Linked DNA regions of Anolis sagrei. The protein of the gene in region 1 interacts with the protein of each later gene in a biochemical or structural test. Links are inferred from orthologs where the notes say so. Each region holds a gene or a part of one and is shown on either strand. Other genes may lie near its edges.

What was found.
Region 2: of the proteins of PTPN6 (region 1) and LCK, one has a biochemical effect on the other in vitro, tested with the Homo sapiens proteins (4 studies listed by BioGRID and IntAct, with this or other methods). The link is inferred for Anolis sagrei from reciprocal best matches to the Homo sapiens genes PTPN6 and LCK.

The regions. Positions count from the first base shown.
Region 1 is NC_090022.1:198,223,716-198,230,579, forward strand, and holds the start of PTPN6 (tyrosine-protein phosphatase non-receptor type 6), read left to right. Parts: upstream 1-3,845; 5' UTR 3,846-4,010; intron 4,011-6,134; 5' UTR 6,135-6,201; coding exon 6,202-6,215; intron 6,216-6,864. UniProt on the Homo sapiens protein: Tyrosine phosphatase enzyme that plays important roles in controlling immune signaling pathways and fundamental physiological processes such as hematopoiesis.
Region 2 is NC_090034.1:83,357,186-83,365,011, reverse strand, and holds the start of LCK (tyrosine-protein kinase Lck), read left to right. Parts: upstream 1-4,810; 5' UTR 4,811-4,870; coding exon 4,871-4,975; intron 4,976-7,760; coding exon 7,761-7,826. UniProt on the Homo sapiens protein: Non-receptor tyrosine-protein kinase that plays an essential role in the selection and maturation of developing T-cells in the thymus and in the function of mature T-cells. Plays a key role in T-cell antigen receptor (TCR)-linked signal transduction pathways.

The DNA.
Region 1 (6,864 bases):
GATGACGACGACAGATGCCCTTGGCAATCAGAAAAGTTGTCGAACCCACATTGGCAGTCTTAGTATTGGTTCATGGTTTTGTTTTGTTTTTCTGTGTCAGGAGTGACTTGAGAAATTGCAAGTTGCTTCTGTTTGAGAGAACTGGTTGTCTGCAAGGACATTGCCAAGGAGACGCCAGGGTGTTTTACCATCCTGTGGGAGGCTTCTCTCATGTCCCTGCATGAGAAGCTGGAGCTGACAAATGGGAGCTCACCCCGCTCCCATGGGAGCTCCGCTCCCTGCTCCCATCGCCAACCTTTCAGTCAGCAGTCCTGCTGGCAAAAAGGTTTAACCCATTGCACCACAGGTGCTCCATTGGTTCATGGGGGAAGATATGCTTTGGTATTTCAATCACAATCTTTTCATTGCTTTAGAAACCTGAATCTCAGGCTCATAGATCTCTGTCCACTAAATATGTGAAAACACAGTATGACATGACAGTAATAGAGGCAAGTCTTACCTTGCAGAACAAGCTGAGCTGCATCTGAGAGCAAATGCTGGGTCACAAACGTGTCATTGCTACTTCGCATACTTGAATGAGTGATCAAGGGAAAACTTTTTTTCAACTTCTAGGAACACTTATCTAGGATGACAATCTGTATGCAATTAGATGGACATTGTTCCCGGATAAGCTTATTTTCAGTTATCATATAAAGTTTGACCAACAGTGACTATGGGTAAAAATAAACATCCGCCTAATGGCCTTTTCCCCAACAGCTAAGTGTTGGCTTTTGCAGAGTCTCAAAAATGAATTGGTGCATCATTGCTAAAAGATGGACTTCATTCGAAAGAGCAATAAAGGTTCTTGACACTGTAGATTGAACAGTCAAATGTTCTATAATAATATTTTTCAGCTTCTGTTAAGATATCCAGTAATGGAGGTTGGATCTTTCCCCAGGAATAGTGTCTCTCCTTTTGGTCTCCAGTTTCTGTGAAGCCGAGCTCTACTTGTGACAGATAGCAGGACTGGCAGTAAAATGTCTTATGGTCATTAATAAGCAGTAAAATGCAAAGTCTGCAAGTATGCAAATCAGGAACACATGGATGCCCCTTTTCTTGTTATTTATCTATTAATGATACGTGCTGAAACAACATGCTTTGTTATAAATTAATTACTGAGCAGGTACTATTTTTTTCCTAAATCATGTCTAATGCTCATGGCCCATAGTTAAACCAATATCTATGTTGATTAACCTGGCCTTCTTCCAATATGGGACACAAAGTGGCTTACAAACGACTGGCGACGTAGGAATTCAGCATTTACAGATTTATACATATACCTCCAAATATATTTATACATTTATACATATACCACCATATAATCCAGATTATCAATGCAGATAATTGACATGAACTCGATTATATGAGTCTACACTGCCATATAATCCAGTTTAAGGGAGATAATCTGGATTTTATATGGCCATGCAGAAGGGGCCTTAATATAGTTTCCATTCATGGGAGGGGGGGGGGGACCCAATTCTGCTCCTTATACTTCATTTTGAATCTTCCCAGTTTGTATAAACAAAGGTTTTCTCCTGACATTAAGTCCAGTCGTGTCCGACTCTGGGGGATTGGTGTTAATCTCAATTTCTAAGCCGAAGAGCTGGCATTGTCCATAGAACCTCCAAAGTCATGTGGTCCGCATGACTGGATGGAGCACTGTTACCTTCCTGCAGAAGCGGTACCTATTGATCTACTTACATTTGCATGTTTTCAAACTGCTAGGTTGGCAGAAGCAGGGGCTAACAATGGGAGCTCACACCGCTCCCTGGATTCGAAACTGCGACCTTTCGGTTAGCAAATTCAGCAGCTCAGTGCTTTAACCCACTGCGCCACCATGGGCTCCTCTGTTACCAAGTTATAATTGGTGGAGAGACTTACATTGAGAAAATGGTGTGGGGACTGAGTGGTTTCTACTGGGGCTATAACCACCCTTCAGACTGCAGCCATGGGAACCTTTTGAGTAGATGTAAAAAAAAGAGGCCCGCTTTGGGTCAGACCAAAGTCCTGTCCAGTCCAGTGCACTGGTTGAAGAGATGCTTCTGAGGAGTACATGTCAGCAACATGTTCTGAGGAGAACATGTATGGACATATTCAAGAAGCATTCTCTCCTGCCGTTTCGCCTACATCTATGGCAGGCATCCTCAGAGGCTGTGGACAACTTCAACATCAAGGAGGAAACCATAAAAATGAACAAAATCTGGCTACCAGTATTTAAAAAAACTAAAATCAAGACTGTAAATAAAGAGCAACACACAAAACACATGAAACAATCAAAGCCAGCTAACATCTACAAACAAAGGATTCCCCCAAGCAGGAAGCAGCCAGTCTTTGAAGCTGCACTGCCATTCAATGCCAATCAAGGTGGCCAATAGCAATAAGACTTTTTTTCTCCCACCCTGGACATTCCACAGATATATAAACCTCACTTGCTTTGTTTCCAACAGACCTCTCACCCTCTGAGGATGCCTGCCATAGATGTGGCAGAAATGTCAGGACAGAATTTATTTTATTTTTATTTAAAACATTTATATCCCCCCCCCCCTTCTCACCCTGCAGGGGACACAGGGCGGAGCACTACATATTTACGGCAAACATTCAATGCCGGGACATATAACCATAAATATATACAAACATTAAAATCACTTATATCCACATTGAAAGTTGCTTAAAAACCATCTCAGGACACCATTTTGCCTCATTGCACGGCCCTAAAGGCTTGGTCCCACAGCCAGGTCTTCACCATCCTTCTGAAGGACAGGAGGGAAGGGGCTGATCTAATATTGCCAGGAAGGGAGTTCCATAACTGGAGGGCAATCACTGAGAAGGCCCTGTCTCTCGTTCCCATCAAACGCACATGTGATGGTAGTGGGACCGAGAGCAGGGCCTCCCCTGATGATCTTGGTTTCCGAGGTGGTTCGTAAAGGGACAGGTAAACTGGGCCGGGGCCGTTTCCTCTTTATCATTCCTAAAGTGTGTTTAGGAATGATAAAGATTCAAAGTGGTGAGTGTATAAATAATATCATTGACTCATGCAAGCAACAAAAGTATAGCTCTCTTACAATAGAACTGGAATCTCATGGGTGTATTTACCTTTTTAGAGAAAATATTAATTTGGATCAATAATCAATGCCATATTTATACAGAGCATGAAGAGTTTAGGACAGGCATAGGCTGTTAGGAATTGTGGGAGTTGAAGTCCAAAACACCTGGAGGGCTGACATTTGCCCATGCCTGGTTTAGGCCTTAAAATTGTTCACATGTGAAGTGCAGGGTCTCCAGCTGGAGGTCAGCTGTGACCAACAGTGCTGTAGAATTTGAAGAGGCACGAAAGAGAAACGTACCAAGAGGATGGCGCATCAAGCCAACCCCAACCGAGATCGCTTTCCACCTGGAAACCAATGCCTTCACTGCGGGAGAAGATGCAGATCAAGAATAGGGCTCTATAGCCACCTCCGGACCCATCAGTACACTGATCTACGGACCCACCCTGGAGGATTATCCTACTCTGACAACGAGGGATCGCCTAAGTAAGTAAGTAAGCTGGGTCCTTATGATGGCAGTCAAGGATCTGTGTCTCTGAAGAAGTGGCAGCTTTAGTCACCATTGGGCTGCTAAACTGGGTGCTGCAGAGGGTCCGCAGGGCCAGTTAAATGCACAGCAATTGTGTGTTTTGTTCTGATGGGTGCATTTCAGTTCCAAACTGAGCACAGATCCACCTAGAGAGAGCCCTGCCGAAGGTGAACGGGGCGGGGAGAACAGGTTGTCCCTCCCCTGGTTACCTGTTTCTCCCTCAGGTTGCGCTTTTCCCTTCCTGATACCATTCCTGTGTGTTCATTAACTAACTAGTGCTCAGGGAGACATTTGCCAGGGAAAATAATGGGGCCTTGTTTACAAAAACTAAACGTTTGAGCCGGATTTCCATCTCCTTCTCCCTGGGTCACTAAGGAAGAACCTTCACGCCTGAACAGGTAAATTTTTAGCTATGAGCCTTTCCAGTTTGAATGCAACAGGCATGCACCCGATGCAATGTTTTATTGCATTAGGCCTCTTGCTTTTATTGATATTAATAACTAACACAATAATTAATATTATATTCCTGTTTTTCTCCAGCAACTATTGTCAGTGTAAAAACATAGTTGCCAACTTTTAAATTTTGTATATCTGGGAGCAATGCAGCACTTGACAAAGAAAGATATCCTCAGGCTCGGTTTGTATTTCCACATTCCTGGAAATAAGTGTCATTGGGGCCAATGGACTTAACCCTTGAGTCAACTTTTACAAGATCGCTCCCCCAATAGGATGAGATCCCTCACAGGAGGTATATATTTACACCAAAGATACTTTAGGCAACAAAGAAACTGTAAAAAAGAAATTCAAAGTTACCGGCACATTTGTTAGTACCTAAGTTGATGTTCTGAATGAAATCTTGGATAGGAAATCAACAAATCATTAATTGAAAATCTGACATGGGATTATAATCCTATTGGACGAAACCCTATTGATTGGAGCCCCCCGTGGTGCAGTGGATTAAACTGCTGAGCTGCTGAACTTGCTGACTGAGAGGTCGGCAGTTCAGATCCAGGGAGTGGGCTGAGCTCCTGCTGTTAGCCCCAGCTTCTGACAACCTAGCAGTTCAAACACATGCAAATGTGAGTAGATAAATAGGTACCACTCCTGCGGGAAGATATATATCAAGGCAGAAAATCCCACAATATCTGCTTTGAACTGGATTATCTGAGTCCACAGTGCATTATATTCCAGTTCAAAGCAGAAAGTGGGAGATTTTATTCAGCTGTATGGAAGGGGATGTAATAGTCTTTGGATGTGGAAAGATACAGCAACGTCTAGAGGTTTTGTAATGGTGGGAAATATTATAATGTATTGAAACATAAATTGTTTCGAAAGGAAATACAAAGACAGCGTTATGGTCATTATGGTAATTGTTAATATGATCAAGAACAGATCGATAGGCGCCCCCGGTGGTGCAACGGGTTAAACCCTTGTGCCGGCAGGACTGAAGATCGACAGGTTGGAGGTTCGAATATGGGGAGAACATGGATGAGCTCCCTCTGTCAGCTCCAGCTCTCTATATGGGGACATGAGTGAAGGCTCCCACTAGGATGGTAAAACATCAAAACATCTGGGCATCCCCTGGCCAACATCCTTGCAGACGGCCAATTCTCCCACACCAGAAGTGACTTGCAGTCTCTCAAATCTACACACAAACATATACACAATTCAATATGTTGTTATATTCTTGGGGCATATGTGCAATACTTATTTACTTATTTCCATTTGTTGTTCTAGATAATAGAATAATCCCAGAAACACAGAAAGCAAAATGACAATTGTATATATAGTTATGGCCCCTTCTACACTACCATATAATTTAGATAATCAAAATTGAACTAGATTATATGGGTCTACAGCAGGCACAGGCAAACTCTGGCCCTCTGGGTGTTTTGGACTTTGACTCCCACAATTCCTAACAGCCAGTAGGCTGTTAGGAATTGTGGGAGTCGAAGTCCAAAACACCCAGAGGGCCAAAGTTTGCCAGTGCCTGGTCTATATTGTCATATAATCCAGTTCAAAGCAGATAATCTGGATTTTGTAAGGCAATGCAGAAGGGGCCTTAAAGATAATGACATATTATATATATATATATACACACACACACGCACGCACGCACACACACACACACCCAACGTAAACGGGCTGGGAGAATGTTGGATATTGGATAATAAGGAGGGATTAAGGAAAAGCCTATTAAAAGTCAAATTACATTATGATTTTACAAATTAAGCACCAAAACATCATGTTTTACAACAAAGCAATAGAAAAAGCAATTCAATACACAGTAACGTTATGTAGTAATTACTGTATTTATGAATTTAGCACCATAACATTACAATGTATTGAAACAGCTGTGGATTCGGGCTGGAAGCAGACTGCGTTGGATAATACACAATGTTGGATAAGTGAAGGGTGGATAAGCAAGACTCTACTGTGTGTGTGTTTGGTGTATGCAGGTACTGCATGTTTTTTTCTTCAGTTTTTGATCATCCTCCTGATTTGGTTTTTTTTCTCCCCAGGACTGCATGCTGTGGAATCCCACCTTTTCAGCTTTCCTTAGTGGGGTCCCCAGTGTCTGGGATCCTGATGCCATCCTGCAGGTACGTTTCTCCCAAGCTGGATTTTTATTTTGCCTAGGAACCTAATTCATAGCAGAAGAATATCTTTGGGAAGGGAATCAGAAACTGTAAGGAAAATTAAAATAACGATTTTGCTAGCAGTGTCTATAATGAAGTTTGAAGCAGTTGTGGGGAACCACGTGTTTCTCCTTATGAACCTTCCAGGACTTTAAGATCATCTGGGGAGGCCCTGCTCTCAGCCCCAACTTCATCACAAGTATGGCTGGTGGGGACGAAAGACAGGGCCTTCTCAGTGGTGGCCCCTCAGCTATGGAGCACCCTCCCTAAGGATATCTGATCGGCCCCCTTCCTTTTAACATTTCAGAAGAAAGTCAAGACTTGGCGTTTTGAGCAGGCATTTGCAAATACAGTGTAATAGACATAGGGAAATGGAATGGTTGGACAATGTGATTGGACAATGTTTTTAACGGGCGACCCTAATGTTTGTGTTTTTATTAATTTTATTATGGTTTTATTATCCAATTGTTTTTATTGGATTGAAATTGTATTTTATGGTCTTGGTACCAACTGTAAACCTCCCCGAGTTGCCTGTGGGCTGAGAGGGATGGTATATAAATATAGTAAATAAATAAATAAATAAACAAGAGTAATCCCAAAATGTTTAGATTCC
Region 2 (7,826 bases), on another chromosome or scaffold:
TTCCTCTTTCCACTGATTTGATAAGACGCCTTTATCATTCCCCGCTTGTACTGAATTACATTATATTTATTCACTGTTTTGGGACAAACCCTGAACAGGAAATGGGATGTTTTCCCACAATGGGCACAGCAAAGGTCAAAACAACAGAATTCCACAAAGTTTGGTTCGAGCGATGCAGAACCCAATGCCATTGTTAAAAACTACTTCGAAACCCATTTGCTTCCGCTGTGTTTGTATTATTTCTGTAGCCATTTGCAAAGGCAGCAAACAGCATGCAATGTTCAATGTATTGTCGAAGGCTTTCATGGCCGGAATCACTGCGTTGTTGTAGGTTTTTTCGGGCTTTATGGCCATGGTCTAGAGGCATTCTCTCCTGACGTTTTGCCTGCCTCCTCAGAGGTAGTGCATGGCAAGCCCCCTCAGAGGTAGTGCATGCAATGTGTCTGTTACTAGGTTGCAAGCTTTTGTTATGTTGTGTTTCCAGAGTCTTTCCAACACTCAGATGGGATAAACGTTGAAAAACAATATGAAAAGGAGAGAGGGAAGTATTTCTGAGTGTCACAAAGACTGGAAACACAACATACAAAAGCTTGAAATCCGCAAGCATGCGGACAATTTCTACAGAAGGGAGGAAACTATTAAAATGAACAAAATATGGGTTGTTGTAGGTTTTTCCGGGCTATATGGCCATGTTCTAGAGGCATTTTCTCCTGACGTTTCGCCTGCATCTATGGCAAGCATCCTCAGAGGTAGTGAGGTCTGTTGGAACTAGGAAAAGGGTTTTTTTATATCTGTGGAATGACCAGGGTTCGACAAAGGACTCTTGTCTGTTGGAGCTAGGTGTGAATGTTTCAACTGACTACCATGATTAGCATTTGATTGCCTGGCAGTGCCTGGAGCAATCTTTTGTTGAGATGTCCTTGTTTGTTTCCTCTCTGTTATTTTGCTGTTATAATTTTAGAGTTTTTTAATACTGGTAGCCAGATTGTGTTCATTTTCATGTTTCCTCCTTTATGTTGAAATTGTCCACATGCTTGTGGATTTCAATGGCGTCTCTGTGTAGTCTGACATGGTGGTTGTTGGAGTGGTCCAATATTTCTGTGTTCTCAAATAATATGCTATGTCCAGGTTGGTTCATCAGGTGCTCTGCTATGTCTGACTTCTCTGGTTGAAGTAGTCTGCAGTGCCTTTCATGTTCCTTGATTCGTGTTTGAGCGCTGCGTTTGGTGGTCCCTATGTAGAGCACAACAACAGAGTGGAAACAAACAAGGACATCTAATCACCTCTCAACAAAAGATTGCCCCAGGAACTGCCAGGCAATCAAATGCTAATCATGGTAGTCAGTTGAAACTTTCACACCTAGCTCCAACAGACAAGAGTCCTTTGTCCCACCCTGGTCATTCCACAGATATAAAAACCCCTTTTTCCTAGTTCCAGCAGAACTCACTACCTCTGAGGATGCTTGCCATAGATGCAGGCGAAACGTCAGGAGAAAATGCCTCTAGAACATGGCCATATAGCTCGAAAAAACCAACAACAACCCAATGATTCCAGCCATGAAAGCCTTCGACAATAGATTGAACAAAATATGGCTACCAGTGTTTAAAAAAAAATCTAAAATCAGGACAGTGAATAAAGAACAACACTCATAAATGGGAATTCCTGACAGGGCCAGCTAACACCTCCGAACAGATTCCCCCAGGTAGGAAGCAGTCTGGCTTTGAAGCTGCAAGGCCATTCAATGCTAATCAAGGTGATCAATTGCAGCATTCACACTTGCCTCAATCAGACAAGAGTTCTTTCTCCCACCCTGGACGTTCCACAGATATATAAATCCCACTTGCCTAGTTTCCAACAGACATCACAACCTCTGAGGATGCCTGCCATAGATGCAGGCGAAACGTTAGGAGAGAATGCTTCTAGAACATGGTCATACACCTCAGAAAACTCACAGCAACCCAATAAATACTGAAATGAAAACAATGTATTGTTCAATTACAAATCTAAAGCATATAAACACTAAAACTAAACCCAGGACTACTAAAAAGAATGAACTAAATTCACGAAAAACCTATTAAAATACGTAACACATGACACAACTCCCCCTGGCTTGGTCTTAACATTAATGTTATAATGTTAATTTTAATTATTTTTCATAATCAGAGAAAGTGACAAAGCCGTGTGCCCTACTATTTCAATTAATTTGCTGCAATATTCTAATTACTGTATAAATGTTGAGTCTCTGAAATGGTTGGGAGCAAAAGTATTTGGGATATTTCCCCCTCAGGTTTAGGGATCTCTACATTTGCATATCCATATAAATATAGATATGTATATATATGAATTGTGATTATCTTGGAGATGGGACATAAGACTAAACATGTCATTCTTTTGTGTTTCATATACATTTTATATGCTATTATAGTCTATAGGTTATTTTATACGCCGTATTTTTAATGATTTTGTGCATGGAGTCAAGTCAGTGTCCTCTGAACCATCAGAAAGCAAAGTTTTTGCATAATAATAAGAACACATTTAATAATAATACATATAATAAATGTAAAAATATAAATATAAATTAATGATTAAGGATTATAATAATGTCATTTGGACAATTTTGAATTTTGGATGAGTTCAGAATTCCAAATAAGGGGTTCAGTGCCTCTAAATATTCATTAAACAGATTACAAAATATTAAGAAGTGAGTCCTTGGTATATAATAATGCAGGCTGTATCATATCAGTGTGTAATGCTATACATTGCAATGGTCACAATTTGGCAAATACCAATTGGAATACTCATCTTATCGCTGAAAAAAAGTCCTAATTTCACCCCATTTTCCCACTTTGTTCCAAACACAGTCCTGGTTTCCCTTATTTTGGGAGTGATTGACCTTGGATCTGAGAGTTGTAGTTCATCCTTATCCAGAGAGCACTGAACCTAGCCGATGTCAGATCTGGACCAAACTTGGCACACAGACCCAACATGGCCCTCTGTGTATACAGGCCTGGTTTGAGGGTGATTGTCCTCTGCATATGGGAGTTGTAGTTCACCTTTATCCAGAGAGCCCTGAACCCAGCCAATGACGGATCTTGACCAAACTTGGCACACAGACCCAACATGGCCAATTGTGAATACTGGCAGGGTTTCGGGATGATTGACCTTGGCACATAGGAGTTGTAGTTCACCCTTCTCCAGAGAGCACTGAAGCCAGCCAAGAAAAAACCCAGCCGTCAAATGCCCTTTTCAAATAACCCGGTCATTGCCAGGTCGCCAAGCGAGTATATTTAGAATGTCAAGGTTTATGAGTTTGTGGCTGAGATTGTGGGTTTCCTCTTGGTCACTGCATTGACATCACTTTAGCCCTCAGATTTGGAGGACAAAATGTGATTGATTTCACTGCTTCTGCAATGTGATGCAAGTTTGCAAATTGTTTCTAAGGCTCCTTTTACACTGCCATATAATCCACTTTATAAATGCAGATAAACCACATCTGCTTTGAACTAGATTATATGAGACCCTTCCTACACTACCATATAAAATCAACATTGGCTCCTTCTAGACTTCCATATAACCCAGTTTATCAAAGCAGATAATCCACATTATTTGCTTTGAAGTGGATTATATGAGTCTACACTGCCATATAATCCAGTTCAAAGCAGACAATCTTGATTTTATATGGCAGTGTAAAAGGGGTCATGATCTGTTTTGAACTGGATTATATGATGCCCCATCTGAACTGCCATATAAAATCCAGATTATCTGCTTTGAACTGGGGCCCCATCTGCACTGCCATGTAAATCTGATCTGCTTTGAACTGGATTGTATTGCAGTGTAGACTTGTATAATCCAATTCAAAGCGGATAATGTGGATGACCTGTTTGATATTTATTTGTTTGTTTGTTTGTTTACTGTATTTGTATACCGCCTTTCTCAGGCAATCGGCGACTCAAGGTGGTTTCCAACAAAACAGTACATATAATATCACAAAACAAGTTAAAACATTAAAACAGTATAAAACAACAATAATAACAACATCATTAGCGTCTCCTTATTATCAAGCATTGTCCAATTCCGTCATCAAGTCATTCAATTTTCTATGTCATTTACTCTGTATTTGTAAACGCTTGCTTGAATAGCCATGTTTTAACTTGCCTCCGAAACATTAGTAGGGAGAGAGCCGATCTGATCTCCCTAGGGAGGGTGTTTCATAGCTGAGGGGCCACCACTGAGAAGGCCCTGTCTCTTATCCCCGCCAGATGTGCTTGTGTCGAAGGCAGGACTGAGAGCAAGGCCTCCCCAGATGACCTCAGGGTCCTTGAAGGTTCATAAGGGGAGATGCTTTTGGACAGGTAAATTGGACCAGAACCATTTAGGGCTTTAAAGGCCAAAGCCAGCACTTTGAATTGGGCCCAGTAGCAAACCGGCAGCCAGTGGAGCTGGCGCAACAAGAGGGCCGCTCCTGTTAGCAACCTGGCTGCCGTTCGTTGGACTAGTTGAAGCTTCTGGACCGTCTTCAAAGGCAACCCCACGTAGAGCACGTTGCAGTAGTCTATACGGGATATAACCAGAGCGTGGACTACTGTGGCCAAGTCAGACTTCCCAAGGTATGGGCACAGCTGGCGCACAAGTTTTAACTGTGCAAATACTCCCCTGGTCACCGCTGAGACCTGAGGTTCCAGGCTCAGCGATGAATCCAGGATCACACCCAAGTGGTCTCTGTTCCTTGGCTCTGATCAGGCCTTTTGGGGAACCTCTTGAAAGTCCTCTTGATTTTCCAATATCGTCTCTTTCTTTTTTGCAGAAGACAAAAGCTTGCGCAGGGAGCTGGGCCTCAGTGTCCCTTGCGTTCCTGTCGTGCACCAGAAGCATGGGCTGCTGCTGCAGTTTGGACTGTGATGAGGGCTGGGAGGAAGGGGACCTGGAGATCTGTCAGACCTGTCACTATCCCATCGACCCAGACACCAAGCCCCAGGTGAGAGGTTTTGCAACTGCACTGGAGAGTTAATGCAGTTTGGTACCACCTGGACTGCGATGGCTCCAGGCTTGGCAGACCCAGCCAGGATGCTATGGCTAATAACACAACGTAACATTATTGTGTTATAAATATAATTTTCTAGTTGGTGCTATCATGAAAACATTATTATTTTTAGTGTTGTTAGCTACTTTGGGTCTCTTTTTAGAGAGAGAAAGCCGGATATATATAGCAAATAAATACAATAATAATAATTAATAATAATGCAATGGAATCCTTAGGGTTGTAGTTTGGGGAGACCCAAGAGATGGCTGGAAGCCTTGCAAATCCAATAATACTAATACTACTTATAGTAGCTACCTACAGACCCACAACGAAAACACTACACTTGGAGGACCATCATCCTCCAGCTACGAGGGATCGTCTAAGTAAGTAAGTATTATTATTAGTATTATTACTAATATTATTAATACTTACTTACTTAGGCGATCCCTTGTAGCTGGAGGATGATGGTCCTCCAAGTGTAGTGTTTTCGTTGTGGGTCTGTAGGTAGCTGCGGAGACCTATTCTTGACCTGCACGTTCTTCCGCAGTGAGGACATCAGTTTCCAGGTGGAAGGCAGTCCTGGTCGCAGTTGGTTTGACCTGCCTTCCTTTTGGCATGTTTCTCCCCTTCTCACTTCATTCATGCTTCTAATTCCTCAGCACTGCTGGTCACAGCTGACCTCCAGTTAGAGCACTCAAAGGCCAGGGCTTCACAGTTCTCGGTGTTTATGCCACAGTTTTTAAGGTTGGCTTTAAGACCATCTTATTTATTTATTTATTTATTTATTTATTTATTTATTTATTAATGCACTTGTATACCGCTAATATCTCAGCCTAAATCGGCGACTCATTGCGGTTTACAACACTTAAAAACAACAATATTCAGATTAAAAGCATAAAACACATATACAGTACACAGTATTGGGCCACCAATACAGACCAACGCATCTCTTAACTAAAATCATAATCCAATTTCGTTGTCTGTGAATTGCCAGTCCTTGATCATGAACTTCATCGCACCGGATTAGCCGAATGCTTGTTCAAACATCCATGTCTTCAGTTTTTTTCGAAATACCATCAGCGAGGAGGCTGATCTTATCTCTATAGGGAGGGCATTCCAAAGCCGCGGGGCCACCACAGAAAAGGCCCTGTCTCTCGTTCCCGCCAGCCGCACCTGTGAAGCAGGTGGGATGGAGAGTAGGGCCTCTCCCGAAGATCTTAGGGTCCTGGTGGGCTGATAGGCCGAGATACGTTCGGATAGATATGTTGGGCCAGAACCGTTTAGGGCTTTAAAGGCCAATGCCAGCACTTTGAATCTTTAAATCTCTTTTCCTGTCTTCCAACATTACATTTTCCATTCTTGAGTTGTGTGTATAGTAACTACTTTGGGAGATGGTGATCGGTCATTCGGACAACGTGGCCAGTCCAGCAGAGTTGATGGCATAGGCTGACACTTGTCCGCCTGTCTTCCCAAGAGATTTGCAGGATTTTTCAGAGGCAACACTGATGGAAGTATGATGTCTGTAGACAATCCAGGTTTCGCAGGCATATAGCAGGGTTGGGAGGACAATGGCTTATAAACAAGCACCTTGGTATCCCTACAGATGTCCCGATCCTCAAACACTCTCTGCTTCATTTGGAAAAATGCTGCACTCGCAGAGCTCAGGTGATGTTGTATTTCAGTGTCAATGTTGACTTTTGTGGTGAGGTGGCTGCCAAGGTAGTGGAAATGGTCAACATTTTCTAATGTTACACCATTAAGCTGTATTTCTGGCATTGCAGAGGGATTGGCTGGTGCCTGCTGAAAGAGCACTTTTGTTTTCTTGATGTTCAATGAGAGGCCGAGCTACTCGTATGCTTCTGCAAAGGTGTTTAGAATGGCTTGTAGGACTTATTCTGAATGTGCACAGACTACGTTATCATCAGCATACTGGAGTTCTATAACAGATGTTTTTGCAATCTTGGTTTTGGTACATTGCAATAATAATGAAATGGAATCCTTGTTGTAGTTTGGGGAGACACAAGAGAAGGCTGAAGACCTTGTAAACCCAATAATAATAATAACAACAATACATTATTCAAGTTTATCAAAGCAGATAATCCGCATAGTCCTAGACACTTGGGAAGTGTCCAACGTGTGATCCAATACAACAATCAGCATAGTGATCTTGTCTGCTGTGTACTAATCTTGTTGTGTTTAAAATAATGATGATGATGATGATGATGATAATAATAATAATAATAATAATAATAATAATATGTAATCCTCAGAGTTGTCATTTGGGGAGGCATAAGAGGAGGCTGAAGACTTTGTAAATCCAACAACAACTGCTACCCACTTATGCTCATGGCTCAAGGCAGAGTATAACGCAGTTGAAATACCTAGATAAAACATAAGATCATTAAAACTTATTATATTAAAAGACACAGAGCAAGGATTAAAAGATATTAAAATCATCATGCCAACTAATACATTTAAAATTCAGTTTAAAATGGGCTTGGTAACCACACTCAGGCAGAGTTTGCCATGCAAAGTGAACATCAGAAAGAAAGAATGATGAAAATGTAGTATAATTGCACACACTTTTCAAGGCGGTAATCTTGCTCTGAGATTCCTCCATCTCAATCTGAGGACCAGAGAAAAAAGAACTGGGATGTAATAACTTCAGCATGAGATCCAGTTTGTTGGAAAACCTGGCCATGAAAGAATATTTGGTGTTTATTTGTTTGTTTGTTTACAGAGGCCGGCTTTGAATGGCTCCGAGTTTTACAACCCTCTTTTGTCTCCCGATGTAATGACACCTCCT